Linked DNA regions of Pelodiscus sinensis. The protein of the gene in region 4 purifies or fractionates together with the protein of the main gene of each other region. This does not show direct contact. Links are inferred from orthologs where the notes say so. Each region holds a gene or a part of one and is shown on either strand. Other genes may lie near its edges.

The links.
Region 1: the proteins of SRC (region 4) and ARRB2 purify together in Homo sapiens (affinity purification with western blotting; 4 studies listed by BioGRID and IntAct, with this or other methods). This does not show direct contact. The link is inferred for Pelodiscus sinensis from reciprocal best matches to the Homo sapiens genes SRC and ARRB2.
Region 2: the proteins of SRC (region 4) and PDGFRB purify together in Homo sapiens (affinity purification with western blotting; 4 studies listed by BioGRID and IntAct, with this or other methods). This does not show direct contact. The link is inferred for Pelodiscus sinensis from reciprocal best matches to the Homo sapiens genes SRC and PDGFRB.
Region 3: the proteins of SRC (region 4) and STAT1 purify together in Homo sapiens (affinity purification with western blotting; 3 studies listed by BioGRID). This does not show direct contact. The link is inferred for Pelodiscus sinensis from reciprocal best matches to the Homo sapiens genes SRC and STAT1.

What each region holds. Positions count from the first base shown.
Region 1 is NC_134734.1:8,207,604-8,214,460, forward strand, and holds the start of ARRB2 (beta-arrestin-2), read left to right. Parts: upstream 1-3,857; 5' UTR 3,858-4,362; coding exon 4,363-4,443; intron 4,444-4,599; coding exon 4,600-4,660; intron 4,661-5,129; coding exon 5,130-5,174; intron 5,175-5,427; coding exon 5,428-5,624; intron 5,625-6,857. UniProt on the Homo sapiens protein: Functions in regulating agonist-mediated G-protein coupled receptor (GPCR) signaling by mediating both receptor desensitization and resensitization processes.
Region 2 is NC_134727.1:35,019,609-35,027,432, forward strand, and holds the start of PDGFRB (platelet-derived growth factor receptor beta), read right to left. Parts: upstream 3,014-7,824; 5' UTR 2,557-3,013; intron 1-2,556. UniProt on the Homo sapiens protein: Tyrosine-protein kinase that acts as a cell-surface receptor for homodimeric PDGFB and PDGFD and for heterodimers formed by PDGFA and PDGFB, and plays an essential role in the regulation of embryonic development, cell proliferation, survival, differentiation, chemotaxis and migration.
Region 3 is NC_134717.1:67,124,053-67,131,271, reverse strand, and holds the start of STAT1 (signal transducer and activator of transcription 1-alpha/beta), read left to right. Parts: upstream 1-4,206; 5' UTR 4,207-4,415; intron 4,416-5,206; coding exon of another isoform or gene 5,207-5,246; intron 5,247-7,219. Other genes in the region: uncharacterized protein LOC142830272, read right to left, coding at 5,207-5,246. UniProt on the Homo sapiens protein: Signal transducer and transcription activator that mediates cellular responses to interferons (IFNs), cytokine KITLG/SCF and other cytokines and other growth factors.
Region 4 is NC_134728.1:24,429,290-24,437,244, reverse strand, and holds the start of SRC (proto-oncogene tyrosine-protein kinase Src), read left to right. Parts: upstream 1-4,950; 5' UTR 4,951-5,457; intron 5,458-7,955. UniProt on the Homo sapiens protein: Non-receptor protein tyrosine kinase which is activated following engagement of many different classes of cellular receptors including immune response receptors, integrins and other adhesion receptors, receptor protein tyrosine kinases, G protein-coupled receptors as well as cytokine receptors.

The DNA.
Region 1 (6,857 bases), on a different chromosome or scaffold from region 4:
TCGAGTCCGCTCCCTCCCGCTATCACCCGGAGCCGGGACGTGAACCCCGAGTCTAGCGCGGCGCCTGCACCCGGAGCCGGCATGGGGGAGAAGGCGGGCACCAGGTGGGGGCTGGTCCGGCGCGCTACAGGGCGCGGGGTGGGGAGGGGGAGCTTGCATCCCAGCAGGAGAGGGAACCCAGGCGTCCTGGCTCCCCCCCAACCACCAGCCCCCACTCCCCTCCCACAGCCAAGGAGTCCTGACTCCCAGCCCCCCCCAACCACCAGCCCCCACTCCCCTCCCACAGCCAAGGAGTCCTGACTCCCAGCCCCCCCCCAACCACCAGCCCCCACTCCCCTCCCACAGCCAAGGAGTCCTGACTCCCAGCCCCCCCCGCTCTGACTCACCAGCCCCCACTCCTCCCCAGCGCTGGGGAGGGAACCCAAGAGTCCTGGTACCCAGCTCCCCTCCCCCCACTGACTCATCAGCCCCCTCTTGCCTCCCAGAGCTGGGGAGAGAACCCAGGAGTCCTGGCTTCCCTTGCATATGAGTGGGAAAGGCCTGATCCTGGTGCAAGGATGTAGGTCATGGCTGGGGGAGGGGCAGCTAATCCAGGAGTAAGGCAGCAGCACTGCCAGGCACTGGGGGTGGAACCAGATTACGGAGATATCGGACCCTGGTGCCAGCCCTGCCTCGGACGCCTGGGTTCCTCAGGACACCTTGGGAAGCTGTCATTTAACACCCAGATGCCTCGGTCCTTTGAGGCCTTTGGGAAGGGCTCCCTCCAGACAGGTGCAGGGACCTGGCCCATGATATGATATTCTCCCCCTGCCCTGTCTCTGCGTTGGGTGCTAGGGATAGGCTGGAACCTGGCAGCAGCTGTCAGGCATGTTTGGTCAGAGCGCTCTGGAGTTTATTGCCCCAGAGATAAGGGCAGGAGGCTAGAGAAGAGGGGGCCAAGGGCTGCCTGGCTCCACCACTCCTGCCAGTGCCCCTCACTCCCAATCCGCAGCCCCTTGGCTCTGAGGCTGTTTGGGATAGTGGGTCTCTCCTGGCGTGGGGGTGGGTCAGAAAGAGGAACTGGAAGCTGCGTAGCTCAGCAGGCAGACTGCAGAAGCTGCTCTGAGGAGCAGAGCAGATGTGGGGGGAGGGCTGGGATTGGGGGAGCAAAGGGATCCCAGCCCTAAGTTTTTCTTTACAAACACTTTCAGTCCCAGCCCTAGGGAGTCCCACACTCTGCATTCCGTCCCTGGTGCAGAGATGCAGCCACCTCTTGGGGGAGCGGAGAAGTTGTACAGAAACCTATGTTGAGGAGGGAGGGGGGCCCAACGCTGTCCCATCCCCTTGGGGCAGTGCTGTCCCTTCCTGAGGCCATAGAGAGGGCTCAGGATTAGGGCCAACTGGCTGAGTGCTGAACCGCAGGGGTGCACGGTGACCTCCCCCAACTGTCACCCAAGTGCCTCCCTAGGACTTCCTCACAACATCCTGTCTAGGAAACAAAACAGGAAACGCCACGTCCTGTTGGAGACACGTGTCCTAACCTTGTGCCAGCCCTGCCCCATGCCAGTGCCCCTCACTCCCAAACAGCAGCCCCTGCCAGCCCAGTCCTGGGCTCCCCTCAGCTCTGCCAGTGCCCCCCATTCCTGACTCTCAGACCCTGGCAGCCCAGCTCTGGACTCCCCCAGCTCTGCCAGTGCCCCTCACTCCCAACCTATAGCCCCTGCTACCCCAGCGCTGGGCTACTATGAGTGCTCCTCACACCCAACACAAAGCTCCCTACTGCTGTTTCTGTTCCCATGTGCTGGGTTCCCTGTTTACATCCTGGCACCCCATATGTCTGTACCTTCCAGGTGGGGCTGCTTCTTGACTCCTCCTCCTCAACCTGGTTGTTCTGAGGAAGGGGGCCAACAGCCAGTGGGGTCAAAGGTCAGCCTGGATCTTCCCCAGTGCATGAGACATGGGACTAGCAATTTCCATAGCAACCTGAATATGTAGGGGGAATCCAGCACTGAATCCTCCCCCCAAACTGTATGAAATGTTTGGGGAGATGCTCTTAGAGGGAGGCTCTTAGAGGGAACTGGGCAAGCCTGGTGGGGCAGAAGTTGGTTCTCTCCCCTTTCTGGAAAATTGGGGAGGGCTTTATGGAGAGCTGTGGGGGACCCTTCCCCCCAGATCCTGCCCCCCTCATTCTGAATCAGCTGGGTTGTTCCCCCTTCACTCCTGGGTGGTCCCTGAATTCACTCCTCCCCACCCCCCTGCTGCTCCTGTCACTATGGTTACACTGGGACAACCAGCCTGGATCCTGTTTCTGTGGCAACCAGCTAGACCTGAGGCAGACAGGTGGATTCCCCCCCCCTTTCCCCCAGCTGAGCTACTGCTTGGAAGGCAGAGGTCAAAGGTCAGCCTGGTGGACCCCTGAGATGGGGGGAGCTGAAGTTGGGGAGGCCCATGTCAGTCAGTTCTGACCTATGCCCCTTCCCCCACCCCTTTTCCTCCCCAGGGTCTTCAAGAAATCAAGTCCCAACTGCAAGGTGAGTGACAGCCCGGTGCCCCTCACTCCCAACTCGCAGCTCCTGTGCCCCACCTGACCCCAAGCCAACCTAGCCCCATCCAGTGCCTCTCACTCTCGACCTGCAGCTCCCAGCCACCCCGGCCCTGCCCGGTGACCCTCACTCCTGACCCCCAGTAGGGATGTTAAGTATCGGGTAATTGACTAGTCAATAGGACACCTCTGCCTTTGAAGTGTAACAACAGCTTGAGGGCTGTTGCTACACTTCAAAGGTGAAAGCACCAAAGCGCTAGGGTCAACTGGGGACTCCCCCACTGACTCCAGGCTCCATGCAGCATTGCTGCTTTGAAACGGCATTTCAAAGCAACAGCGCTGCACAGAGCCCAGGGTCAGCTGGGGAGTCCCCAGCTGATCCTGGGCTCCCCACAGCATTCAAAGCAGCAGTGCCACACGGAGCAGCTGACCCCACGCTCCATGCAGCGCTGCCGCTTTGAAGTACCCCCCCTTGTCGCCCCCCTTGCTGCCTCTTTCTGATAGAGCCAGCAAGAGGGAGGAGCAACTAGTCAACTATTCTGTCGACTATCCGATAAGCATTTGCTTATTGGATAATTGAATAGTCTTTCACATCCCTTACCCACAGCCCTTGGCCCCACAGCCCGGTGCCCCTCACTCCTGACTCACAGCCCCCCATTTCCCATCTGACGTGTAGACTCTGGCCGTGCCCGGTGTCCCTCACTGCCGACCCGCAGCCCCTGGCCAGCCTTTCCCTGCCTGGTGCCCCTCACTGCCGACCCACAGCCAGCCCAGCCCCACCCAGTGCTCCTCAATCCCAACCTACAGCCCCTGGCCTGCCCAGCCCCGCCCAGTGCCCCTCACTCCTGATCCGCAGTTCCCGGCCAGCCCAGCCTCATCTGGTGCCGCTCACTCCTGACCCGCAGCCCCGCCCCTCCCAGTCCTCCTCAATCCCAACCTGCAGCCCCTGGCCAGCCTGGCCTTGGGTTCTGGGTAAGAATGTTAACTGGAACAGCCATCCGCCCGTTGTGGGTGTGGGGCTGCTTCCGCTGTGGGCGGGGAGGGCAGGGTGCTCCAGCCTGGCCTGAGCAGCTCTTGTTTTTGTTTGCTGTGGGTCCAGCCCAGCCAAAGAAGGGGTTGCTCCAGCCTGGCCACGGGCAGGGGCTACCCTGCCCAAGTGCATTTAATAGGTTAACCAGTTAAACTTAATGTTTAACCAGTTAACTCATTAAATGGGATTTTACATCCCTAGTTCTGGGTGTTATGGTCTCTTCCCCCCCCCCCCCCCCCCCAACCTCAATGGTTTCCTCTTGCGGCTCTTCCCCCGCCTGGCTTCCTCCCTTGCGCACTGACACGGGGATCCTGCCATGTCTCTCCCCTCCCCCCATGGGCCTTTGCACACACTACTGAGTGCCCGTCCACGCAGAACTTGGCCTGAGGCTTGTGCATAGAGAGGTGGGGGGGCTAAGGTTGGGATGGGAGTGGGGCCCTGTATTGTCGAGGGGCAGAAGGTGCAGTGTAAGGGGGGCTCTGAGCTAGGGAAGAGTCATCCCAGGTTCTTGAGGGAGAAAGGGGGAGAGGCCCTGAGCTCCAGGCAGTGAAGAGTTAACCACCACCCACTTCTTCTCCCTCCTTCCCCCCCACACAGTTTGTTTACATTGGGTTTCCACACACCTGCCCCCCCCCCTTTCCTGATTGGCTGCCCCCCTCCCTAGGGCCCCCTCAAATTCCTAGGGGGCGGCAGAGCTGCAGATAAACAGACTCTGGAAGGAGCAGCGGGTGTGGGGGGGTGGTAGGTACAGTGAAGGTGCGTGGGGGGGCAGCAGGCGTGGCTGGGGCAGGGAGGGCATCTCAGGGTGGGGATGGAGCCCCTGGAGCTGGACAGGATTCGATGTGAGATGTCTGGGAGCCTCCGGGTCTTCAGAAAACAGCTGGGAACCCAGGTAAGGGGGTGCTAATTGGGGACTGACAGCTTGCATCAGAGCAGTCCTGATCTGGTAGAGTTCCCCCCCACCCACTGGGTGCTGCAATGGGCTATTTCCCCACGTGGGTGTGAGGATCTGTCTGTCCCCCTTCCCCATGTCTGTCTGTTCCCACAGCTCACTGTCTATCTTGGCAAGCGTGACTTTGTGGATCACCTGGACCGGGTGGACCCTGTGGGTGAGTTAGGGGGTTAGGGAGTGGGGAGGGTAGGGGCCTTAAAGGATTGGTGGAGGCTGGGAATTGGGGATATTGGGGGGCTGGCAGTTAGGGGGTCAGACATGGAGGAAGGTCAGTGGGGGTCTGGAGTTCAGAGGGCCGGTTGGCTCTAGGAGTGCTGGAGGTTGAGGGGCAGAGATGGCTGAGGGGCAGTGGGGTGCTAGGGCTGGAGGTGTTTGGGGTGCTGGGAGACCAGGGACTGGTTGGCTATTGGAGTGGGGTGGTGGTTACGGGGATGAGGGTTCAGGGTTAGGAGACATGGAGTAGGGAGTTAGAGGGCTGGTCAGAGACTGGGGGTCAGAATGCTGAGGTGGCTGGGGGAAGTCTGGGGGTCCAGGGACTGATTGGCTCTGGGGTGGTTGGGGTGCACAGAGCTAGTGGGGATCAGGGGATCCTGCCCAGTCTCACCCCTGCCCTGATTCCCATGCAGATGGAGTGGTGCTGGTGGACCCCGAGTACCTGAAGGATCGGAAAGGTGAGAGGGGCTGGGGGGGGAGGCTCCTGCTCTGAAGAGGGGTGAGATTCCAGGCTCCACCACTGCCCCTTTGACCCAGACTGGCTAGGGGCGAGGCTGAGTGATCAGGCTCCACCCCTGGCATGTCTGTTCTTGGGTAGGGGGAGGCATCTTGGGGAAAAGGAGGGTGGGAAACAGCTTGGGGAATTCTGAGTAGAGCTGTCTGAGGCCTTCACCCTGTCTTGCTGCCCTCTTCCCCACCCCTCTTCTGCAGTGTTTGTGACTCTGACCTGCGCTTTCCGCTATGGGCGTGAGGACCTGGATGTGCTGGGCCTATCGTTCCGCAAAGACCTTTTCGTCGCCACGTGCCAGGCTGTGCCCACCCTGCCTCAGGAGCAGTGCTCCCCCACCCGCCTGCAGGAGCGGCTGCTGCGCAAGCTGGGAGCCCATGCCCACCCCTTCTCCTTCACGGTGAGCGCCCCGGGGACTCTCCAGGGACCCTCAACCTTCCAGTGCCCTCTTTCACCTTCATGCTGAGCCCCCAGGAACCCCAGCACCCCCTAACCCTAGGGATGTTAGTGGCTAGTTGCCTAATCGTTTAACCAATATGCGATTGTTTATCAGTTAACAGTCCCAGTTAACTGCAACACACCCCTACGTGCTCTGCATTTAAAACTCGGACCAGCAGGTTTGCTCAGTCGCAGCCCATAGGTCCAAGTTTTAAATGAAGAGAACATGGGAGCCCCCTACCACGCCACGCTACTGCCTTTGAAACAGCTCAGAGCCTGCGGGGCAGCAGGTGGGAGTCGATACGTGCCAGCAGCTGGTTTAAAAACCAGCTCCAACCTTCCACCTGCACTAATGCCTCTGAATCAGCCTGAGCTCCTGTCCTACTCCTGGAGTCCTAGACAGGAGCTGCTGTCACCAACACGGAGTGGCAGGGGGCTCCCCAGGAGTAGGACAGGAGTTCACTGGCTGCCAGGCCCAACCTCAGGAGGGAGCATTTTAGTAACCGTGTACAGGGCGCCCCCACTCTAAGTCCCCCTGTTATACATCTGTTCCACACTGAAGTCGTTGCCACTTGTAGGAACTGATGCATTATAAATCCTCCCATTCCCTGCTCTTCGGTCATGCCAAAAACAAAACAAAAAACCCAATTTGAGCACATGGAAGTCATCCGTGGGGAACAATGCCCTGGTTTCAGTTTCACTATAAGTCCAGGTTTTTTTAAACATATCTTGGATTTATCGCAAGGCCGGCCTGTAACCACTAAGCACTGCTGACACTACACAATTACTAAAATAAACCATTTCTGACATCCCTGCCTACTCCCCCCATACCCTCTTTCACCTTCACAGTAAGTCCTCAGAGCGTCCCCTCATGTGGCAAAATGGGGATTTTATGCCCTTTATGTTGCTTGTTAGTTCTGGTGTCATGCCATGTGTTGCCTTCGTTTCCCTGGGCACTGTACCAATGCCTAGACGGGGCTGGGCATTTCAGTGTGACAGCCTCCCCCACATCCACAGTGGCTGATACTTTCTGGAAGTTGAGCCTGGGAGGGGTGCGTGTCTAAGTAACATCTTTACACCAGGAAGCACCACAAAGGCTGGAGGAGGGGCCTGGCTGGGACTACCCTGACTCTGGTCCCCCCTCTCCCCAGATGGATTGTACTGGCTGCTGCTGGTTTCTATGTTGACAAGTCTG
Region 2 (7,824 bases), on a different chromosome or scaffold from region 4:
GAATCAGCTGTTGAGGGGAGTAACGCGCCGGCGAGATCATGCTAATGAAGCGCGGGATATTTAAATCCCCGCTTCATTAGCAATTTTGGTCGCCTACATTTGCATCCCTAGCGCCAACGAGGGAGCAAGTGTAGACGTACCCTCAGAGGGCGGAGCTGTGTTAGTCTGTAACTGAAAAAAATCTAAAAACCAACAAAAAATCCTGCAGAACCTTAGAGACTAACAAAACATGTAGATGGTGTCATGAGCTTCCGTGGGCATAACCCACTTCTTCAGATGGCTGGAGTAAGGGGTCAAGGGTACAGATAAATAGCGGGGGGTGGGGGAGAGAAGAGGAGAGAAAAAGCTGCATCTTAGGCCATGGCCCATTCCACATGGCCCTGCTCCCCACGCCCCTTGGAAAGTCCCAGATTAATAGCCCTCTGATGTGACGCTGGACAGTAAACGCAGCTTCCTTCCCATCCATGCTGCCCACGGACTCCTGGCTCCTTCAGGACGCCCTGTCTCCTTCACAATCTCACTTTCAGACCATCCCAGCCCCCTTCTGGCCCTCCCTGGCACACCCAATAGCCTGACTCCACTGAGGTGGGGCTCAGCTTGAATCAGAGCCTAAAATATGTCCTTGCTCTGGCAGGGCCCCATCCGAGCCTTGATCCTACGGAGATGAGTGGCACTTGGCTGGGGAGCCAGGCTAGAATAGACTGAACTTGGTGGACGTTGATAAATAATATCTGCGAAGACGAAACTGCGAATCGCCCACACAAATGTGAAGAACGTGCTGTTGTATGGGTACAAGACCTGGCATACTACAAAGTCTTCACCTCACAAGCTACAGACATTCCTAGACAGACGCCTGCGGTCCATCCTTCACATCAGATGGCAAGACTGTGTCCCAAAGAAGAGCTTTGGAAAAGAGCAAGACAAGGACCACTGGACATTCAAATCAAGAGAAGAAAGTGGGGCTGGCGAGGCCACACTCAGAAAACCATCATCCAGCACAGTCCGGCAAGCTCTCACATAGAACCTGCAAGTAAAACGCGAAAGAGGAAGACCTCGGACAACATGGAGAAGATCGATTGAGATTGAAGGACAACAACTGGGGTACTCCTGGAGTCAGCTAGAAGTGTTGTCTCAAGATAGAGTGAAGTGGAGGAGACCTGTAGACGACCTATGCTCCCTCGGAGTGACAAGGGTTTAAGAAGAAGATCTAAGACCACACTTCAAAGCCTAATGCAGCCCTCTCCGTCCAGGTGTCATCCCTGCCCCAGTGTGGGGGAGTCCCAGGCTACTGCTTCTGGGGGTGCTGCCTCTCCTGCCGTGCCCCACCCATGTGACTTTGATTGACGGTATTTCAGTCTGGGACCCATTCAGACCCCAGCATCTCCATCCAGCAAAGCAGGCCCCTGGGGTGGTGTGACCTGAGCCCTGATCTCCAGGCAGGACTGAGCAAAGCCCCCTGCTCACATCCCAGAGAGCACTAACCAGCCATCCTGCTGGGACAGATGCGAAAGAGAAACCCAGGAGGTGAAAGGTTTCCTAGGTCACTGTCCCTCTCCTGCGTCCCCTCTCCCCCCTTGGCCTGCGGCAGAGGCATTTCTCAGCATTGTGTTCTCCTCTGATGGCCAGGTCCTGGAGAGATGCCCTGCAGCCTCCATCCCCGCCAACCCTTGGGATTGCTCCCTCTGCTTTTACCCAGATCAGTGTGGGCGGCCTGTGCCCAGGGCTCATCCCGGAGCCCAGCAGGGTGAGCTGTCCCTGGGCAGGACAGCCAGGGCTGTGACCAAGCTCAGAGGAGGGCGTGTGGTTACCAGCCCAGAAGCAGGAACGGGGAGAATTTCCTTCGGGCCCGATCCTGCAGCTTTTGCTCCGGTGGGGGGGGCCTGACTCGCACAAACCATGAGCCCCTGGCTCGCCCTGGGACCAGCCACCTGGCTGGATACGGAGGCAGGGGACGGACCTGCCCGGGGAAAAGCCGCCCCTGCTGCGTCACCAGCCCTGTCGGAGAGAACCAGCTGTCTGGCTTGGTAGCTCACTGTCTCCCCAGACCTTTCTGCACCATCCAGCGCCTTGGTATCCAGGGCCCAGCCCCTGCCCTGCTCGGGAATAGCCTAAGCCTCTCATGATTGTCCCAGGATCCCCATCCCCTTCCCCAGCTCCCTCAGAGCTAAGTCTCCCCCCAGGCCAAGCCTGTCAGCGGGAAGCCCCCACAGCTCTGCCCCTCTCCCAGGCCGGCCCAGCAGCACGCCAGGGCCCCTGCTCCCTGCCCCTCGCTTAGCTCCCAGGGCTGCGGTCCTGCCGTCCGGGCGCGCCCCGCAGCCGGGCGCTTGGCCGCGCATCTTAGGAGCGCAGCGGGGCCCGTGCGCGCATCCAGCTGCTGGCGGGGTTCGCTCGCTCGCTCGCTGCCAGGTCCCTTCGCCCTCCCCCGCCCGCCTCGACGCCGGCGGCTCCCGAGCTCGGCCCCCAGCAGAGCGGCCGTGACTCCCCCACCCCTCTCTCCAGCCCCCCGGGATTTCCAGCCCCCAGCGCGCAGCGGAGCTCGCGGGGCGCGCCACTTACCGTGCGCTGGGCTCGCTCGCTCGCCAGTCCCCAGCGGCGCCTCTCCCGCCTCCTTATCGCCGTCTGGGCAGCGTTCCCGGCCCGGCTCGGCCCGGCCCGGCTCCTCCCAGCGCCGCGCAGCCAGGAGCCGCCGCGGAGTCCCGAGGTGCCCTGGCTTTGCCTCTAGACGAGCATCGCAGAGGAGCCTGGAGCCTCGGCGGGCGCCCTGAAGTGCGCTGCGGAGACAGCCCCAGCGCGGCAGCGGGGGGGATACAATTGGGGGGGGGGGGAACTTGAGGGGGGAGCCCGTGTCCAATCGGCACAAGGCTGGAGCCGCCTTTCCCTTCTCCCCGCCTCCTTCCAGCTGGAGCTTTCTCCAAAACTTTCGATTCCAAACAAACCGAAGCAGGCTCTGAGGGGGAGTTTCGGTGAGAACCGGGGGCGGGAGAGGGGCTCGGAGCCCAGCTCCCGGCTCAAAGCCTCAGCAAAGCTGAGCGCAGCCCCCTGCCTTTCCTCCTTGGGCTGGAGGAGCCGCCTTGGGGGGCTGCTTCTTGCTGGCTCTCCCTGCTTTCAGTTCTGGCCTTTCGCCCTGCCCTGATTTCAAACCCCCCCCCCCTCCCATTTTTTCCCCTTTCTCAGGATATGAGGGGATGTTTAGAAAATCCACTGCCCACGCCAGCAGCTGACTCATGTTTTCATTAAAGAAGGCCTGTGTTAAAGGGACTGCACATATGCCCTCCCAGGCCTGATACAGCATCTCCAGCCCCTGTCCTGATCGCCTGGGCACAGATGCTGGCATGGACTCATAAGAGCGGCCATACTGGATCAGACCGAAATCCATCTAGCCCAGCATCCTGTCTTCAGACTGTGGCCAACACCAGGTGCCCCAGAGGGAGTGAACAGAACAGGGAATCAAGTGATCCATCCTGTCACCCATTTCCAGCCTCTGACAGAGGCAGGGACACCTTCCCTACACACTCTGGCTAATAAGTATTAATGGACCTAACCTCCATGAATCTATCTAGTTCTCTTTTTGAACTGTTGAAGTCCTAGTCTTCACAACATCCTCTGCCAACGAGTTCCACAGGCTGGCTGTGAGCTGCGTGAAGAAAAACTTCCTTTTGTTTGTTTTAAAACCTGCTACCTATTCATTTCATGTGGCGACCCCTAGTTCTTATGTTACGGGGACATGTAAATAACTTTCCCTTTTGTATAGACCCCTCTATCATATGCTCCCTTAGTCTCCTCTTTTTTAAGCTGAAAAGTCACAGCCTTTTTAATTTCTCTTCATATGGCACCTGCTCCAAACCCCTCAACATTTTTGTTGCCCTTTTCTGAACCTTTTCCAGTGCTAGGATATCTTTGGTGAGATAAGGCGACTACATCTGTACGGAGTATTCCTTTCTCTAGTGCAATGGTTCTCAAACTTCTCAACATAAACCTTTCCATGGACCACCAGCCAACCCCCCATGATGATGAAACGTGTGCATGAAAGGGTGGGAGTGCGGAGTCTGGCTAGAAAGTAGGATGCAGAAGAGGGCTGAGAGTGAATGGGTCTGGGTGGGAGGGGTGGGAATGAGGGGGATGGAGGTGCAGGATCTGGGCATGAGAAGGATGGGGGATGCTAACCTGGCTCTGTGTCTCCCACTGCTCCTAGGCACCGTCCTTCACTGCCCCTATTGGCTGTAATTCTGGCCAATGGGAGCAGCGGGGAAAGCCTCCAGCGGAGCCATTTCCTGTGCTGCTGTTCCCCCAGCCGGGAGGAGGAGCAGCAGCACACAGAGCCATTTACTTACCCCGCAAGCTGGATCCAGCCCACAAGGCTCACCCCGACCCCCTTGCAGTGGGAAGCCGGCGTGGGGCTGGAGCGCCAGCACAGGCTCACCGCTGCGGGAAGGAGGGGAGCTCCAAGCCTGTGCCCCCACCCCCCCGCAAAATGGAGAACCACTGCTTTAATGACTGCCTATGGACATTGCTTTCACAGCTTTGACCCGGCTGGTGCAAACAGACCCCTCCACCCAGAGCTTAATTTGTGCCCATGCTCAGCAGAGTTGAGCCCTGGCATCTCCTGGCTTGGCAGTTCATAGCCCCACAGTGGCACCGGAGCAATTTTTAGGGTGAGGGGTGATGAGTGAACCCCCTCCCCTTGGACCTGTTTGCGTCTCTCTGATAGTTGCAAACTCTCCCAGACCAGACTGACCGGACACCATTCACATCAATGGGGCAGGTGGCTGGGAGAATTGGCAATCCTAGCCTTAGGCTGCCCCCAGGCAGAGCCCCCCACCAGTGGCAGGACCCAGGGTGGGTATGGGGCATCCAGGGCTGGTGACCTGGACTCTAGGGCTAGCAGGGCCAGTCAGCTGAGGAGCCCATGGGTGCAAGACTGGTTGGCAATGGGATCTGAGGGCTGGTGGAACCCATGAGGCCAGTAGGTTGTGACGAAGTCAGTGGGGCTGGCTTGATCCTGGAGGCCTGGTGGGACTCCATGGGTGTGTCTAGACTACATGCCTCCGTCGACGGAGGCATGTAGTTTAGACGTACCCTATGAGGCCAGGAACAGGGACTGGCAAAGCAAGCGATGGATGGGCAGCAGGGCCAGCCCTCCGGGTGCAGGGAAGCTTGGTGCAAAACCTGGGGGTGCTGCAGCACCCCCTGCACTCCTATTTCCCATGCCTATCTAGCCCCAGCCCCCCTAGGTTTGCTACATCAGCCCTAGAATCTGCACTGGCTACAACCCTCTTGTGCAGTGGTTCTCAAGCTTTTTGGCCCATGGCCTACCCTGCTCAGCAGAGACCACCAGCCAACCACCCATCATGACAAAATGGGTGCAGGAAGGGGTAGGAGTGCAGGGTCTGGCCAGGAAGTAGGATGCAGGAGCAGGCTGAGGTTGCAGGGAGGAATTTGGGTGGGCAGTTGGGTGCAGGAGTGGGCTGAGGATGGAGGGGTCTTGGCAGGGGGTTGGGTGCAGGAGTGGGCCGAGAGTGTGGGGTCTTGACATACGACGGATAGGGGGCCCTTACCTGGCTCTGTGCCTCCCACTGCTCCCAAGCACCACCCCCTACTGCTCCCATTGACTATGATTCCGGCCAATGGGAGCAGTGGGGAAAGCCTCCAGGTGGGTGGTTTCCTGCATTGCCATTCCCCCAACGTAGGGGGAGGGGAGGGAGAGCAGCAACACACACAGCTGCTTCCTAACCCACAAGTTGGATCCAGTCCATGAGGCTTGCCCCTTTCCCCCCACAGCGGAAAGTTGGCACAAGGCTGGAGCCCCAAGCCCACGACCTACCTGCAAGACGGACACTTTGAGAACCACCGCGCTAATGTGGATGCAGTTATAGCTCTATGAAAGGTGCAAGGCTGAGTCATGCCTTGTCTACACACAAAGAGTTTGCTTGCGATAGCGAGCCTGGTATAGTGCAGATGCAGCTAATAGAGCCAGAAGAGCTCTAGTTTATACCAATTCCTCCAGCGGAATAGGCTACACTGGCAAATGGACATTTTTTACTGGTGTAACTTAATTTATGCGAGAGCTTCTGCTGCCACAGGTAAGCTGGCCAGGAGCGTGAGTATATTACAGGCCCATCAGCCCCAAGCCTGCCTGCTAGAAAAATTTGTTAGAGTAAAAGAGACCTCAGGTTCCTTTATGCTGGTATAATTTCATCCACACTAGGTCTATATCTACACTGGCGGGTTCTTGTGCAAGAACGGCCATTCTTCCGCAAAGCGTCCACGTGGGCCCCCTAGCTCTTGCGCAAGAAGATTTATAGTAAAGCGTGGGAAGAGAGGGCTTCTTGTGCAAGAGCTACGCTCTTTTCTAACAAGTGTAAGCTCTGTTGTGCAAGAGTTCTTGCTCAAGAGGGCAGTGTGGATGCGTGGCAGGGGTTTCTTGTGCAAGAAAGCCCTATAGCTAAAATGGTCATCAGTGCTTTCTTGAGAAAAAGAGCGTCCACACTGCCATGGGCGCTGTTGTGCAAAAGCACCTGGCAGTGTGGACGTGTTCTTGTGCAAGAGTTCTTGCACAAGAACCCTTGTGCATGATGTTCTTGTGCAAGAACCCGCCAGTGTAAACATAGCCTAGGGGTACGTCTACACTGCAGAGTTTTTCTGGAAAAACGGCTGTTTTTCTGGAAAAGCAATACTCATATCCACACTGCTAGTGCGTTCCTTCAGCAGAAAGGGGGAAAAATCACTCCCCTAAAAACCTGTCGCAGCCCCCACCTAAGAGCTGCTGTGTGTACAAGAGAGAGTCATCACTTAATAGCTGGTTAGGGGTGTGTGTTTATAATAGAGCTGGCTAATCATTTGTGAGCCTTAACAGTTAGAGGCTGGCTATTTATCTCTCCTTTATCTCAGCAGTTTCTTCAGCTTTCCATTGATGAAAACCCAAGTACAGACTATTTATTCAGAGATCTCCTCTGGCTGCCAAGGGGAGGGGAGATCGGGGTGTGGGAACCCCCAGGCTGTTACCATACAATGGGGCTGCTGATTGTGCAGTATCTTGCACACAAGTGCTACTCCAGTGTGTCTCCCAGATAATGCAGTTGCAACAGCAGCCAGAGGTACAGGCTAGGGAGGAAAGATAGGAGAGCAGCTGAGATCTGGAAAGAGATAGAGGGAGGTGAGGAACAGGGATAAAGGAAGGTTGTGAAGCAGAAAAGGCTCTTGCAGCAGCCGGGGCAGAGATCTGGTGCTGAGATCAGGCTGGAATGGGGTAGTGGAAGAAAGTGGCAGATCAGGGGGGCATGAAACCATATAGCTCCCTCATGCCATTTTTGCTGGAACTCCATGGCTGTGTCTACACTCGGCCACTTATTCGGCAGCCGCTTTTCCGGAATAAGCTGCGAGCTGTCTACACTGGCCCCTTGAATTTCCGGAAAAGCACTGACGATCTACTGTAAGAAATCAGCTGCTTTTCTAGAAAAACTATGCTGCTCCCGCTCGGGCAAAAGTCCTTTTTCCGGAAAACTGTTCTGGAAAAGGGCCAGTGTAGACAGCACAGTAGTGTTTTCCGCAAAAAAGCCCCGATCGCAAAAATGACGATCAGGGCTTTTTTGCGGAAAAGCGCGTCTACATTGGCCCCGGTCGCTTTTCCGGAAAAAAGGCTTTTCCGGAAAAGCATCCTGCCAATGTAGATGCTCTTTTTCCGGAAATACTTATAACGGAAAACTGTTCCGTTTTAAGCATTTCTGGAAATTCATGCCAGTGTAGACGTAGCCCATGTGTAAAGGAGCTTGATTTCCCCTAGCTCCTGCTCCGAGTCCATACCTGGAGGCACCAGGTTCCCTGTGG
Region 3 (7,219 bases), on a different chromosome or scaffold from region 4:
GAGGGCTGTGGTGCGGGGTGTCTGGGAGGAGGGCTGTGGGAGGGGGGAGGGCTGTGGGGGGCTGGGGGAGGGGGGAGGGCTGTGGTTGGGACTCTGTGGTGCGGGGTGTCTGAGGGAGGGGGGAGAGCTGTGGGGGGCTGGGGGAGGGGGGAGGGCTGTGGGGTGAGGGGGGGAGGGCTGTGGTGCGGGGTGTCGGGGGGGGAGGGCTGTGGGAGGCTGGGGGAGGGCTGTGGGGTGAGGGGGGGAGGGCTGTGGTGCGGGGTGTCTGGGGGGGGAGGGCTGTGGGGTGAGGGGGGGAGGGCTGTGGTGCGGGGTGTCTGAGGGAGGGGGAGGGCTGTGGTGCGGGGTGTCTGAGGGAGAGGGGAGGGCTGTGGAGGGCTGGGGGAGGGGGTGAGGGCTGTGGTACAGGGGTGTCTGAAGGAGGGGTGAGGGCTGTGGGGGGCTGGGGGAGGGGGTGAGGGCTGTGGTGCGGGGTGTCTGAGGGAGGGGGGAGGGCTGTGGTGCGGGGTGTCTGAGGGAGAGGGGAGGGCTGTGGAGGGCTGGGGGAGGGGGTGAGGGCTGTGGTACAGGGGTGTCTGAAGGAGGGGTGAGGGCTGTGGGGGGCTGGGGGAGGGGGTGAGGGCTGTGGTGTGGGGTGTCTGAGGGAGGGGGGAGGGCTGTGGTGCGGGGTGTCTGAGGGAGGGGGAGGGCTGTGGGGGGCTGGGGGAGGGGGTGAGGGCTGTGGTGCGGGGTGTCTGAGGGAGGGGGGAGGGCTGTGGTGCGGGGTGTCTGAGGGAGGGGGGAGGGCTGTGGGGGGCTGGGGGAGGGGGTGAGGGCTGTGGTGCGGGGAGTCTGGGGGAGGGGGGAGGGCTGTGGTGCGGGGTGTCTGGGAGGAGGGCTGTGGGAGGCTGGGGGAGGGGGGAGGGCTGTGGGGTGAGGGGGGGAGGGCTGTGGGAGGCTGGGGGAGGGCTGTGGGGTGAGGGGGGGAGGGCTGTGGTGCGGGGTGTCTGGGGGGGGAGGGCTGTGGTGCGGGGTGTCGGGGGGGAGGGCTGTGGGGTGAGGGGGGGAGGGCTGTGGTGCGGGGTGTCTGGGGGAGGGGGGAGGGCTGTGGTTGGGACTCTGTGGTGCGGGGTGTCTGAGGGAGGGGGGAGAGCTGTGGGGGGCTGGGGGAGGGGGGAGGGCTGTGGGGTGAGGGGGGGAGGGCTGTGGGAGGCTGGGGGAGGGCTGTGGGGTGAGGGGGGAGGGCTGTGGTGCGGGGTGTCTGGGGGGGGAGGGCTGTGGGGTGAGGGGGGGAGGGCTGTGGTGCGGGGTGTCTGGGGGAGGGGGGAGGGCTGTGGGGTGAGGGGGGAGGGCTGTGGTGCGGGGTGTCTGGGGGAGGGGGGAGGGCTGTGGGGTGAGGGGGGAGGGCTGTGGTGCGGGGTGTCTGGGGGAGGGGGGAGGGCTGTGGGGTGAGGGGGGAGGGCTGTGGTGCGGGGTGTCTGAGGGAGGGTGAGGGCTGTGGTGCGGGGTGTCTGAGGGAGGGGGAGGGCTGTGGTGCGGGGTGTCTGAGGGAGAGGGGAGGGCTGTGGAGGGCTGGGGGAGGGGGTGAGGGCTGTGGTACAGGGGTGTCTGAAGGAGGGGTGAGGGCTGTGGGGGGCTGGGGGAGGGGGTGAGGGCTGTGGTGTGGGGTGTCTGAGGGAGGGGGGAGGGCTGTGGTGCGGGGTGTCTGAGGGAGGGGGAGGGCTGTGGGGGGCTGGGGGAGGGGGTGAGGGCTGTGGTGCGGGGTGTCTGAGGGAGGGGGGAGGGCTGTGGTGCGGGGTGTCTGAGGGAGGGGGGAGGGCTGTGGGGGGCTGGGGGAGGGGGTGAGGGCTGTGGTGCGGGGAGTCTGGGGGAGGGGGGAGGGCTGTGGTGCGGGGTGTCTGGGAGGAGGGCTGTGGGAGGGGGGAGGGCTGTGGGGGGCTGGGGGAGGGGGGAGGGCTGTGGGGTGAGGGGGGGAGGGCTGTGGGAGGCTGGGGGAGGGCTGTGGGGTGAGGGGGGGAGGGCTGTGGTGCGGGGTGTCTGGGGGGGGAGGGCTGTGGTGCGGGGTGTCGGGGGGGAGGGCTGTGGGGTGAGGGGGGAGGGCTGTGGTGCGGGGTGTCTGGGGGAGGGGGGAGGGCTGTGGTTGGGACTCTGTGGTGCGGGGTGTCTGAGGGAGGGGGGAGAGCTGTGGGGGGCTGGGGGAGGGGGGAGGGCTGTGGGGTGAGGGGTGAGGGCTGTGGTGCGGGGTGTCTGGGGGGGGAGGGCTGTGGGGTGAGGGGGGGAGGGCTGTGGTGCGGGGTGTCTGGGGGAGGGGGGAGGGCTGTGGGGTGAGGGGGGAGGGCTGTGGTGCGGGGTGTCTGGGGGAGGGGGGAGGGCTGTGGGGTGAGGGGGGGAGGGCTGTGGGAGGCTGGGGGAGGGCTGTGGGGTGAGGGGGGAGGGCTGTGGTGCGGGGTGTCTGGGGGGGGAGGGCTGTGGGGTGAGGGGGGGAGGGCTGTGGTGCGGGGTGTCTGGGGGAGGGGGGAGGGCTGTGGGGTGAGGGGGGAGGGCTGTGGTGCGGGGTGTCTGGGGGAGGGGGGAGGGCTGTGGGGTGAGGGGAGAGGGCTGTGGTGCGGGGTGTCTGGGGGAGGGGGGAGGGCTGTGGGGTGAGGGGGGAGGGCTGTGGTGCGGGGTGTCTGGGGGAGGGGGGAGGGCTGTGGGGTGAGGGGGGAGGGCTGTGGTGCGGGGTGTCTGGGGGAGGGGGGAGGGCTGTGGGGTGAGGGGGGAGGGCTGTGGTGCGGGGTGTCTGGGGGAGGGGGGAGGGCTGTGGGGTGAGGGGGGAGGGCTGTGGTGCGGGGTGTCTGGGGGAGGGGGGAGGGCTGTGGGGTGAGGGGGGAGGGCTGTGGTGCGGGGTGTCTGGGGGAGGGGGGAGGGCTGTGGGGTGAGGGGGGAGGGCTGTGGTGCGGGGTGTCTGGGGGAGGGGGAGGGCTGTGGTGCGGGGTGTCGGGGGGGAGGGCTGTGGTGCGGGGTGTCTGGGGGAGGGGGGAGGGCTGTGGGGTGAGGGGGGAGGGCTGTGGTGCGGGGTGTCTGGGGGAGGGGGGAGGGCTGTGGGGTGAGGGGGGAGGGCTGTGGTGCGGGGTGTCTGGGGGAGGGGGGAGGGCTGTGGGGTGAGGGGGGAGGGCTGTGGTGCGGGGTGTCTGGGGGAGGGGGGAGGGCTGTGGGGTGAGGGGGGAGGGCTGTGGTGCGGGGTGTCTGGGGGAGGGGGGAGGGCTGTGGGGTGAGGGGGGAGGGCTGTGGTGCGGGGTGTCTGGGGGAGGGGGGAGGGCTGTGGGGTCAGGGGGCTGGGGGAGGGGGGGAGGGCTGTGGGGGGCTGGGGGAAGGGGGGAGGGCTGTGGGGTCAGGGGGCTGGGGGAGGGGGGGAGGGCTGTGGTGCGGGGTGTCTGGGGGAGGGGGGAGGGCTGTGGTGCGGGGTGTCTGGGGGAGGGGGGAGGGCTGTGGGGTCAGGGGGCTGGGGGAGGGGGGGAGGGCTGTGGGGTCAGGGGGCTGGGGGAGGGGGGGAGGGCTGTGGGGGGCTGGGGGAAGGGGGGAGGGCTGTGGGGTCAGGGGGCTGGGGGAGGGGGGGAGGGCTGTGGTGCGGGGTGTCTGAGGGAGGGGGGAGGGCTGTGGGGGGCTGGGGGAAGGGGGGAGGGCTGTGGGGTCAGGGGGCTGGGGGAGGGGGGGAGGGCTGTGGTGCGGGGTGTCTGAGGGAGGGGGGAGGGCTGTGGGGGGCTGGGGGAAGGGGGGAGGGCTGTGGGGTCAGGGGGCTGGGGGAGGGGGGGAGGGCTGTGGTGCGGGGTGTCTGAGGGAGGGGGGAGGGCTGTGGGGGGCTGGGGGAAGGGGGGAGGGCTGTGGGGTCAGGGGGCTGGGGGAGGGGGGGAGGGCTGTGGTGCGGGGTGTCTGAGGGAGGGGGGAGGGCTGTGGGGGGCTGGGGGAAGGGGGGAGGGCTGTGGGGTCAGGGGGCTGGGGGAGGGGGGGAGGGCTGTGGTGCGGGGTGTCTGAGGGAGGGGGGAGGGCTGTGGGGGGCTGGGGGAAGGGGGGAGGGCTGTGGGGTCAGGGGGCTGGGGGAGGGGGGGAGGGCTGTGGTGCGGGGTGTCTGAGGGGAGAGGGCTGTGGTGCGGGGTGTCTGAGGGGGGGAGGGCTGTGGGGGGCTGGGGGAGGGGGGAGGGCTGTGGTTGGGACTCTGTGGGGGGGGCTCTGGGAGGCAGCGCAGAGCAGCGGGAGGGTAGCGCGCTTTCAGGAACAGCCGGTGCCGCAGCGCGGATTGGCTGTGGCTGCGGCAGGCCCGCCCCGCGGCTCGGGATTGGCCCGGGGGCTGGCCGCGCAACGGGCGTTCTGTTGCCGTGTCCTCGCTCGCTTTCGGTTTGCCGGCGGCGGCGCAGCAGCGAAGCGGTGACGGCGGCCCGGAGCCTCCTCTCGCCAGTCGGGTGAGTGACCCGGCGCCGCGTCCCCGCCCTGCTGGGGCCCTGAGCGCCGGGCAGCGCTGCCCCGGGCCCTTCCTTCCGCCGGGGCCCGCCTCCCGCACAGCCACGGGCCACGCGGTAGCGGTGAGGCGGCGTGAGCCCCAGCGAGCGGGGCAGCAGCAGCTGAGTGAAGCCGGATGAGCCCCCCTTCCCCCCACCTCTGAGCTCGCCGGTCCCAGCGGGACACACTCCCGCTGGGAAGTTGACGCATCAGCTGGAAATGTTGTTCCCTTGTTGCCATTGACACGCTTCTAATTCCCCACAGACACCCCACGAATAGGCAGGCTCTGGCCAAGTCCTGGTGATGGCTGCTGGCTGCTGCGCTCCTGTAACTACAGCCTCGCTGCACTGGCTTCGCAAAGATTCCACGTGGCTGGATTCACAGTCACCGAGCCAGTGGTCCTAAGACCCAAACCCCTCCTCCAGTCAGTGGAAAAACCCTGATCCTAGGACATAGAAATGCAGAGTCACCCCCTTGCCCAGCCAGGTGTTGGGAGCAGGAGCCACACAAGAGCTGACCTGTATGGCATCCTTGCCTACCCCAGTGAGTGCTGATGTCTTAGCTCGTGTTTCTAAAAATAGGTAGGGAGATTTTAGACATGGAAAGTGACGTGTAAATGGCATCACAGATCCTACAGGAACTATGCTGACTGCCTCAGAGGGAAGCACAGAACAACCCCCCCCAAAAAGACACTGCTTTATAGGACTTGACCTTCCCACCTCTTTAATTGAATTCCCTAGATATATAGGATTACGAAACTGCAGCACCTGATTCCTCTGAGACTCAAGGTTCATTCCTATTGTAACTCTTTCCTAAATAAATACACACAGAGAGGTACAAGTTGGTCACGGTATTTTAGGACAGAATGATGAAGGAACATAGGATTAAGAAGGCAGCATGAAAAATGTAATGGAAAGATGTAAGATACGTGCACATCTTTTCAAAGTGAACGTGCAGAGTTAAGGCATGTCTGCACTAAGGATGTTAAATTGCGTTTAATGAGCTAATCAAGTAGACGATGGCTTTTAAGCCTGCTCTCCTCAGCTCCTGCTCCCTTCTTCCCCGCTGCCTCTGATAGAAGTAACAAGGGGGGGAGAAGCAACTAGTAAACTAGTGACTCAACTACCCGAGAAGCCCAGGCTTATCAGGTAGTCAACTATTCGACTAGTCGCTTACATCTCGGCTTTGTCTACACTGCCTGCAAAGCCTATGCAAATGAAGCGTGGATTAGCATTTTGCCATGCTTCGTTTGCATCATTTATTCAAGCCATTTTTACACAAGGTTTTTGCTTAAAAACAAGCAGTGTGGACTCTTCTTTTGCGCAAAACCCGTTTTGCACAAGGTCCTTATGTGAGGCATTCTTACCTACCCCAGTGGGTGCAAGGCATAAGGATATTGTGCAAAATGGGGGTTTTGCACAAAAAAATTCCATCCACACTTATTGTTTTTGCGCAAAAACCTCTTGTGCAAAACCAGTTTGAATACATTATGCAAATGAAGTGTGGCAAAATGCTAATCTGTGCTTCATTTGCATAGGCACTGCCCACAAAGCCGGCAATGTAGACGTAGCCCACTAGGGAATTATTTCGAAATAGCTCTCCGTATTTTTAAATAAAAAGACGAGCATCCACGTTACCAAGCCCCTTATTTCAAAATAAGTGGAAGTTATTATTTTGAAATAATAACTTCCACTTGTGAAGTGGAATAGTGCTGTTTTGAAATAGTTATTTCAGGAGTTATTTCAAAATAACTTCCCAGTGTAGATGTGCCCTTAGAGAAATCACTTTCAGAGGGACTTAGGAAACTAATAAGTAACTTTAAAATCCAAGTCAGACGGGACCATTGTAATCATCTGATCTTGCAGTATAAACTTCAGAGTTTTGCTAAGTAATTCTTGCCATGACCTCCATAATTTCTGGTTGAAGTACAGCAGTGTCTTTCCTGTGTTTTTTTTTTCCCAGTACATATTAAAACACAGAATTAATTTAGGCTGGTCAGGGTGCTTTTACTGTTATTACACAAAGCATGTTAAACAAACATCTGTCAGGGAAAACTTAAATATTTAGTCCTGCTGTGCAGGCTAGATTAGAAGACCTCTCAAAGTCTCTTTCAGTTCTGTGATTCTATTAAGAATCACTGAGCTAGAGCAGTGTTTCTTAACCATTTTTATAAAGTACCCCTTTAAAAAAAAAAAAAAAAAAAAAAAATCCCCAGTACCTAGTTTTCAGACATACAAATTTTTTTTCTACCATTGGAACACATTTATTTAAACGAGTTAATCGTAGCCAAGAGGGCGATTACATTTTTGGGTGTAAAAAGTACAAAAATAATAAAGTGCTGTAAAACTTAAAACAAAAATTCAGTTTTCTTCAAATTTTAGTTGTGTTGACGTATCCCCCAGACTTCTCTTTGAAAGACTAAATTATGGATCCGCTACATCTGTAGGTAACGTCTTCTAGTGATTAACTGTTCTCAATGCTAAAAATTTGCTCAGTTTGCTCTCAATGTTAAAAACCTTATTTCTAGCCTGAATTTGTCTTGCTTCAGCTTCCTGACCCAGTTATGTCTTTGCTAAATTGAAGAGCCTTCTAATATGAGAAATCTCTCCCCCACATAGATATAGGTTGGACCTCCCTGGTCCAGCATACTCGGGACTTGCATGGTCCCAGGCAAGGGAGTTTGCCTGACCAGGGGCACTCAGGCTAGCTGCTTACTGTGCTGCAATGTGCTGCCAGTTCCCAGATGGGCTGCGCTATGCTGCCAACG
Region 4 (7,955 bases):
AAGCAGGGTTGGCCCGGACGCATGCAGATCCAAGGGTGCTGCCCATCCTGTGCACTGTCCCAGTGGGGCGCATGGGTGAGTCCAGCCCCGGAGATTGCATCCTGCCCTACTCCTCCCTATTGCGTAGTTGTATACCGCTTGGCTGATAGACATGCTCACACAGCATGAGCGTGTCTATCAGCCAGGCAGTACGCAACTACATACTGATACTCGTAATAATAAAACTAACTTAATTATAACGTTAATTGAGAAAATATGTCCAGTATTTTCTCAATTTGTTTCCTGGACATCTAGCTGGTTGCTGTTTGACTTTCTGGTAACAAACTAACAGTGCCAGCCAATAATAAACACACGTGGGCAGTGCTTCTCATATTCACATTGCTTTATGGCTTTGGTCCTCACAGCAACCCTGTGAGCTAAGCAAATACTAAATATTGCCTGTGTATCGGGAATTGTAGACCTCCAAGAGTGAAAGGCAGTGTAAGGGAGCCAGGCTTTACTGGTGAAAAAACAGAGGCCTGTCTTCAGCATGGCAATGATCAAAAACTATTAACAAAGACTGCAGACAGCATGCTCCAATGGTAACCTGATAAGGAACCTATCAAATGAACAGCTACTCAGTGCTATGGCTCCAAGTGACTATCCACTGGACACTCATAATGAAATTAGCTTTTGGTGTGACTCCTTCTTCCTTATGACTCATTGGCTTGTCTGCCTTCTGCAGTGTCACAGGAAATGCTTTCTCAATAAATGAAAAAAAATCAGCCATGCACATCTCTGGAATGTTTTAACGTTTCCAACTTTCTCTAAGTGTCAGTTCTTGCCTGAAGTAACATGAGTTTGAAAATCAAACCACCACAGAGTTCCATGGGATTTCCTGGCATGAGATGCTGTTTGCTGTAGAAGTACAGACAGTCCGTGCTGTCAGCCTGTGATTTAATAGGTCATAGAAAAGCTACAGGTGTTTGGGGGCTTAAGTAATGGGCCCATTTTCTTCCTTGGATATAATATGACAGGGAAGGATTGTTGAGACAGGTGAAGGAGGGGTTATCTCTGTATAGATACTCATGCAGCAGACATATGCTCAGTGAAGTAGGTATATACGGTAAGAGTGATGTTAGTTCTTGTATTCAGAGCTCTCAAGATCCATAACAGTATGTCCAGGTTGGAAGTGAGTCACAAGGACAAGTTAGCAGAAAAGAGCTCACTCTCCTGACCTGTTCTTCCAGGTTCTTCTGTCTAGAACTAGAGGAACGTGGACTCTTCCTCTGTCAATCTAAATAATCTTTCTCGGAGTCCATGGAAATAATAGTTTGAGGTGTCCACATTTTGGCTTGCCGATACCTTCTGCTGGCCAAATGTGCATCTATAAATCAGTGCCCATTAATGGTTGAGGTGGGATGCCGGAAAATGTCCCTCTTTGGAGAGATCCCAGTGCATGAAAAAGAGAAAAAGGTACTGACTACTGAGCTATGTGGATGGAACCCTATTTCATTTCCACTTCTGTCTGTATATTCAGCCCTGTGCTTCCTCATATTGATCTATTAAGTGCTTCTCCCTGGCTTCATTTCTCCTGAGCCAAGAGGAAGTTGGTTTGAGTGACTGCAGGGGTCTTTCCCACCAGGGATTTACCAACGCTCCTAAAGTTTGACCGGAAGTGGCCATGTGGGTGGAGAGGCGAATGCAGTCTCAGTTTTTACTCAATCCTGTGAATTTGGGTATGGAGCAATTTATGATTCCTTCCCTCCTCCCCCCGTGGCTTCCCAAGGATAGCTCAGCCTTGTAGTGATGGACCATAGCCTCTTGGGATAGGATGAGTGCTCCAAGTTCTTTAAATCCTGATTCCAGGTGAGTGGGGACAGAGAATGAATTAGACACAGAGTGAGACTTACAGACTATTAAACTTATTATCCTATCTTAGATATCACTCAGATATATGTGATTACTACTGCTTCAAACATGTTGGGTCTAGAAGAGATTCCCTTGTTATCTTAAAGGTAGCTGCAAAACAACATCCAATTAAGGCTGGTATTCTTTTCCACTTCTCTATGATGCGTAACGAAAGCCTGACAGGTTGTTTGGTTCTGGATTCTAGTTCAGTGGTCACCAACCAGTAGATCTGGATCTACTGGTAGATCTTGGAGCCTCTGACAGGTGATCCTGACTGGTTAGGCCAAGAGGCTGTCAAGTGCCGGCACTTCAGCTACTCCTCCCCCTACTGCTGCATATCTCTTGCCCTTTGCCTTGGAACTGCCTCCCCCACCCCTGGGAGCCTCCTGCTTGCTTTGCAGGTCAGGAGAGGGAGAAGAGTGGCGCTGATGTCAAGGTGCCCCCTCTCCCAGCCTGTATCCTATCTCCAAAGAGCAGAGAGGGGGCACAACAGGACTTGGGAGGGAGTTTGCTAGCTGTTTTGGGAGTGGTGCAGGGCCAGGGCAGGGGTGAGCCTGCCTTAGCCCCACTGCACCGCCACCCAGGAGCCACCCGAGGTAAGCAGTGCCCAGCTGGAGACAGCTCTGAACCCCTGCCCCAGTCATGAACCCCCCTCCTGCACCCCAATCTCCTGCCCTAGTCCTGAGCCCCTTGGCTCCAGACTCCTTTACAAAGCCTGAGCCCAGAACCCCCTCCTGCATTCCAACTCCCTGTCCCAGGCTGAGCTCAGAGCCCCTCTCACACTCCAAATCCCTTAGCCCAAGACCAGAACCTGTGCCCCAACCCTCTTGCCCTGCCTGGTGAAAGTGAGGAAGGACGGGGTAGGAGGGAGGATGGAGTGAGCAAGGGTGGGGCCTTGGAGAAGGAGCACAAAGGAGGAGGGACAAGAGTATTTGGGTTTGAGGTAGATCTTGGATTGCACTTAAATTCAAAAAGTGATCTCATGCTTAAAAAGGTTGCAGAGGACTGTTCTAGTTTCTAGAGGGGAGGGGTTTTTTCACTTTAGAAATATCAGGCGCATCAACTTAAGAAGTTTTCCCTCCTTTCTTGGAGGATTCAGACATGGGTTTAGATCTCTCTCAGGCAACTGAAAGGGCTGGAGTAAGTAACAAAATAGTTTTTCTTCCAACTGTTTTTTTTTTGGGTGTCAGAGTTAAACAATAAAAATGACCCCAATGCAAAAAAAATAAAAATAAAATAGATTACATGAAAATCACTTTCCTTTTCCATTAATCGGGTTCCATTTTTATGGGATATCATCATCTAGTTTGTTCTCCATTTATCCATAGAGCTTCTGAGAAAAAGAACAGATACAACTGGGAATACAAATGTAAAAACTGACGCAGAACCTCCACTGACTCATGCACCTTTTTGGGGACCAGGTAGCTGAGGCCCTCTCAGGAGAGGCATCTTGAACTAGTAAATACATAATTAGGGCCCTACCAAATGAATGGTCTATTTGGGGTCAATTTCATGGTCACAGGATTTTAAAAATAATACATTTTGTTATTTCAGCTATTTAAATCTAAAATTTCACCCTAACCCTAAGGCAGCTCAGAAGTCTGGGTGACAATTCAGGTTGCACCTCTATAAAAACCAGAACTCTCTGGTATGGCAACTTCCTTGGTCTGGAAGATCAAAGAATCTGGGTCCACTGCGGGGGGAGGGGATGTAGAAGACAGGCACACTGTGGGTGGGGGTGGCAATGACAGCCCAGCTGGACTGGGTGTGGAAGAGCTGGGAAGCCCAGCATGCAGCTCAGCAGGGCTGCAGGGAGAGCCAGAAAGCCCGGGGGAACAGTGTAAGAGGGGTGGCAGCAGGGGGGCAAAATCCTTCATTGTGGACCAGTCAGGTCCCAGGGGTGCCAAACCAGGGAGGTCCAATCTGTACAACAATTCCCCCTAAAATAACTTTGCACATACACACCCTGGGGCTTCCTTTTGGGTTAAGACCCACAATTTGAGAACTGCTGGTCTCCCCCAGTGAAATCTATATAGCATAGGATAAAAGCATACACAGTCATAGTCAGACATGTTTTTCCTATCCCTGAATCTGGTAGGGCCCTAAACATCAGTAGCACTGGAAGTCAAGAGTTCCAGTCCCAGCTCTTCTGTGTGACCTTGGACAAAGTCACTGTCTCATTTCCCCTCTCTCATCAGTCTTCTCTCTTTAAATCACAAACCCTTAACTTTCAAAGGATTGTCTCTAGTCCTAACCTTGTTTGAGGAGTTGTATGAATTCCAGGCCTTCTCATTAATGCTTCTGATGGGCTCAGGTACTAGGGGGAAGAGTGCTGGGGAAAAGGCCAGGAATATCCCACATTTTAGGACACAGGATTAGCTCAGTGAGTGATCACTGGGGAGCCCTTAGACACCTTAGGGAGTGGTGGAGACTCATCTGCAAACAGACTAGATTCTTTTTAAACACAGCTTTTATTTGTGCTCTGGGAGGCTACTTAGAGCAAGCCCATGGGCAACCCCACCGGAATCCTGCCTGCCTAGCCTGGCACTGCCCAGATTATGGGACGCTCTTTGGGGCAGGGAACAGTCCTTTTGCCCAGCTCCATGACGGGGTCTCCGGGTTGCTTAGATCGCACAATAAACAAGCCACAATAATTCCACTCTGGGGGCCCCGGGAAGCCAGCAGCAAGCCCGGGATTTCCCTCCAGCTCGGGATGGCCAGCAGAGGCAGCTGCTCTATGCGTCGCCTCCAGCCTCTGCAGCTCCAGCCCCGCCACCCATCTAGCGGCCCCGGGGGCTGGGTACCGGAGCCGCGTCGAGCGAAGCGACGTCCAGCCCTGTCTTGCAAACGTCGGCGCTTCGCTCCGGACTACGCCAGTTTCCAGCTGGCTGCGCGCCCGGAGCCCTTTTTCCTTATTAAAAAGAAACTGGGGGGGGGGGATCTCAAACGGGGGGGGGGGGGGCTGGTTCTTTTCCCTTCATCTGTTTCCGGTTTGCTGCCATATTCCCCCTTTGGGGGGGCGTTGGGGGAGGGGGAGCCCTGGCAAATCGCTAAGAAGCGAGGATCCCATTCGCGGCGCGGGGAGCAGCAGAGAGGAGGGGGCGGGCCGGCGCCGCCCAGGCACCTGGAGGCAGGGCGGGAGGGGGCGATCCTGCGCCGGCCTTGCCTGGCCCCGATGCTCAACCCAGCGGCATGAATCACGGCGGGGAGAAGGTGTCTCCGCCGCAGGCGGGCGTGCACCGCTGCTGACATCACGGCTCCGAGTCCCCAGCCATTCGCTAGCGCGGCAGCCGGGCAGGGGCTGGGGGAGCGAGCAGCCGAGGGGTTAATTCCTCCCCGCCCCCCGCCAGAGACAAAGCCGGAGCCGGGTTTTGTGTCTGGGAACGCCCGGGACTCGGCCATGAGCCGCGTGTCCGCCTCGCAGCTGTCCGGCCCCCTGCCGCTGGGCCAGGGCGTCTCACCGGGCTGCGGGCGAGGCGTGTAGCTGCGGGAGCTGCGAGCCGCCGGGGAGAAAGGAGCTGCCCGAAGGAGCCATCCGGCCCCGGTGCTTTTCCGCGGGGAGGGAAGGTAAGAGACCGCCCGGCGCGCTGGGGCTGGTGATACGCTCGGGGGCACCGACCAGCCCCGGGGGGCTGCCCCGGCGCTTTGGCATCTCCCTGCCTGGGGGCGGTGGGTGCCTGCTGGGGCTGTCGCCCCCAATGGAGGGTTTACACTGCTCCGCCCGACGGCAGCGGCTGCTCCTGCGTGTGGCAGCCGGGAGCCTCCCGGAGCCGCAGCCTGAATTAGCCGAGGAGCTCCGGGCTAAAGGTATTGTCTGCTAGGGCTGGCGAGGCGGCGGCGGGGGAGCTCGGGGTGCGGGACTTGTTCCGAGCCCCGCACTTTCTTCTCTTGTGCGGGGCTGCCTGAAACGGTGGGGCAGCTCTGTCTAGCCGAAGACTTTCTATAGTTCATTTATTCAAACCAGTCGGGGAAACGAGGAGGGGGGGAGGAGCTATATGTAGGCCAAAATATGAAATATTAATCACTCCGCTGCTTTGATGTCTTCTGAGCCAGTTCCCTTTTACTATTTGTTAAATATTCATTTAAAACAAAACAACGACGTAGCTGCTCTGTGGGGGGTTGTGTGTTTACATCACGTCGTGCAGTGTAAGAGAATCGCTGCTCCTCCCTCTTCCTCCCTCCCCAACCTGGTCCTGTTTTATTTAGTGTTTATGATTTAAAGACTGGAAAACGATTCATTAACCGCTCTGTAACTTCTGCTGCCTGATCAGAATATCGATAGAACATCGATACAAAAAAAAGTAACACTGTGCCTCTTAGAATCTGTGCCATATCTGTAGTAATCGGGAGCTGTCAGGCAAAATACTGTAGTTCTAGGTACACAAAGAGGCTGAGGTAATATTTTGCATTGGAACAACTAATGTTGGTGAAAGAGACAAGCTTTTGAGCTACACAGAGTCCTTCCTCGTTCTTCTGAAGCCAAACACCTGGGGTCTGAGCTGACAAACTTCAATGGGCTTTTGTTGTTGTTTTACTCCCTAGCTATCCTGGGAACATGGGGCGTGGGTGGTGCACATGCTCTGTGATCATTCTGAGACACTAAGAATTTTATGATCTTGATTCATTCATTTGTAACCTGCTGGGAGATGTGTGAGTAAGCCCAGCGGCAGGGATAGTCAGGATGTGCTTAATACATCTTGGCACCAGGAAGGCTTAGGGTGCCTCTTCTGCTGGATGTTCCTGGTACTGTGTGGTGTTTGCCAGCAAACTTCTATATGGCTTTCTACAAAAAATGAATGAGATGGCTGTCTTGTCCCTTGATTCCCTTGCTCCTTCCCTTCTCTTATGTCAGAGTACCTGCACAATGACTTACCTCCCTAGCTTTGTTGGGGTTCTGTTGCTATAAGTATTTACTAATGTTTCCTCTAATTTTTTCCATCAGTGGGCAGAATAAATTTTGTTATGTACCAAGTGCAGATGTGTACCACCAATAGAAACACACACTATCTTTGGATAGCTGGGGGCACTCTACTAATCAGCTGGGTGGCATTTGGATCTCTCCTGGGCAGCCACCCAAGCACTCAGCTTACAGGGAACACTGGTACTTACTGAAGCACCAACAGATATGAAGCCCTCCTAAATCAGTTTCCATTTTTATAAAACCTAGGGCTTTAGAAGCCCATATTGTTAGTTTCTGGGCCTGCAGCCATTACTGTAGTGACTGAATGCCCTTAGGAAATAGGCTGCATTGGAACCCAGAATTATCTCACACAGTCTCTTTGTATTCGTATAGACTAGGAACAACCACCCAATAGTCTATAGTTTGTAAAAAACCCAGATGGTCAGTGGGGGGAGTGGGGGAAGGAGGAGAGGGAGAGGGTGAACATGTATATACGGTCTTTCCTCCAAAAGAGGTGGCAAAGGCTAACTATTTTACCTGTTCCACAGAACAGCTCAATACCAGGGTGATCCCACAGACTGTTAAGGGTATTTTAGGTCATCCTTGACTATAACACCTCCCTGGTAAAGGTTTCCAGGTAGCTGCTCTTGGTTTATGGGGCACAATGCTCACCTGGAGGGGTTGAGGGTTTCTTTTTGGCCAGGCCTGTTTGCTGCCAGCAAGTGCTAGCTTTCTGAATGCTCCCTATCATGCCAGGCTTCAGGGTAGGGGGTAGGGGCCAGGCTGAGGTGTCTATGGTTTTAACCCTGCTGGTTGTGGGTGAAGGACTTCTTTGTGCCATTTATAAATTGCTGCGGGTGGTGGTGATAACAAACCTGATCCACACCAGGAATACAGCACTTGTCACAGGTTGTCAAGTTGTCTAAAACTTTGTCTGCATGGAGAAAGCATTCGGTGTTTGTTGGTGCCCCCCTCCTCCCCCTTCACACACTCACCCCGGTGTTTGCAGGAGAGGAAACTGTAGTATGGACAGAAAGCGGGCATGTCTTGAAGCTGCTCTGCGAGCAAAATGAGAGGACACGATGGTTAGGTGTCTGCATCCTGTCTACACCACAGCGTTCACGGTGGTCAGTGCCATTGGAGGAAACCACTTACCACTTTCTCG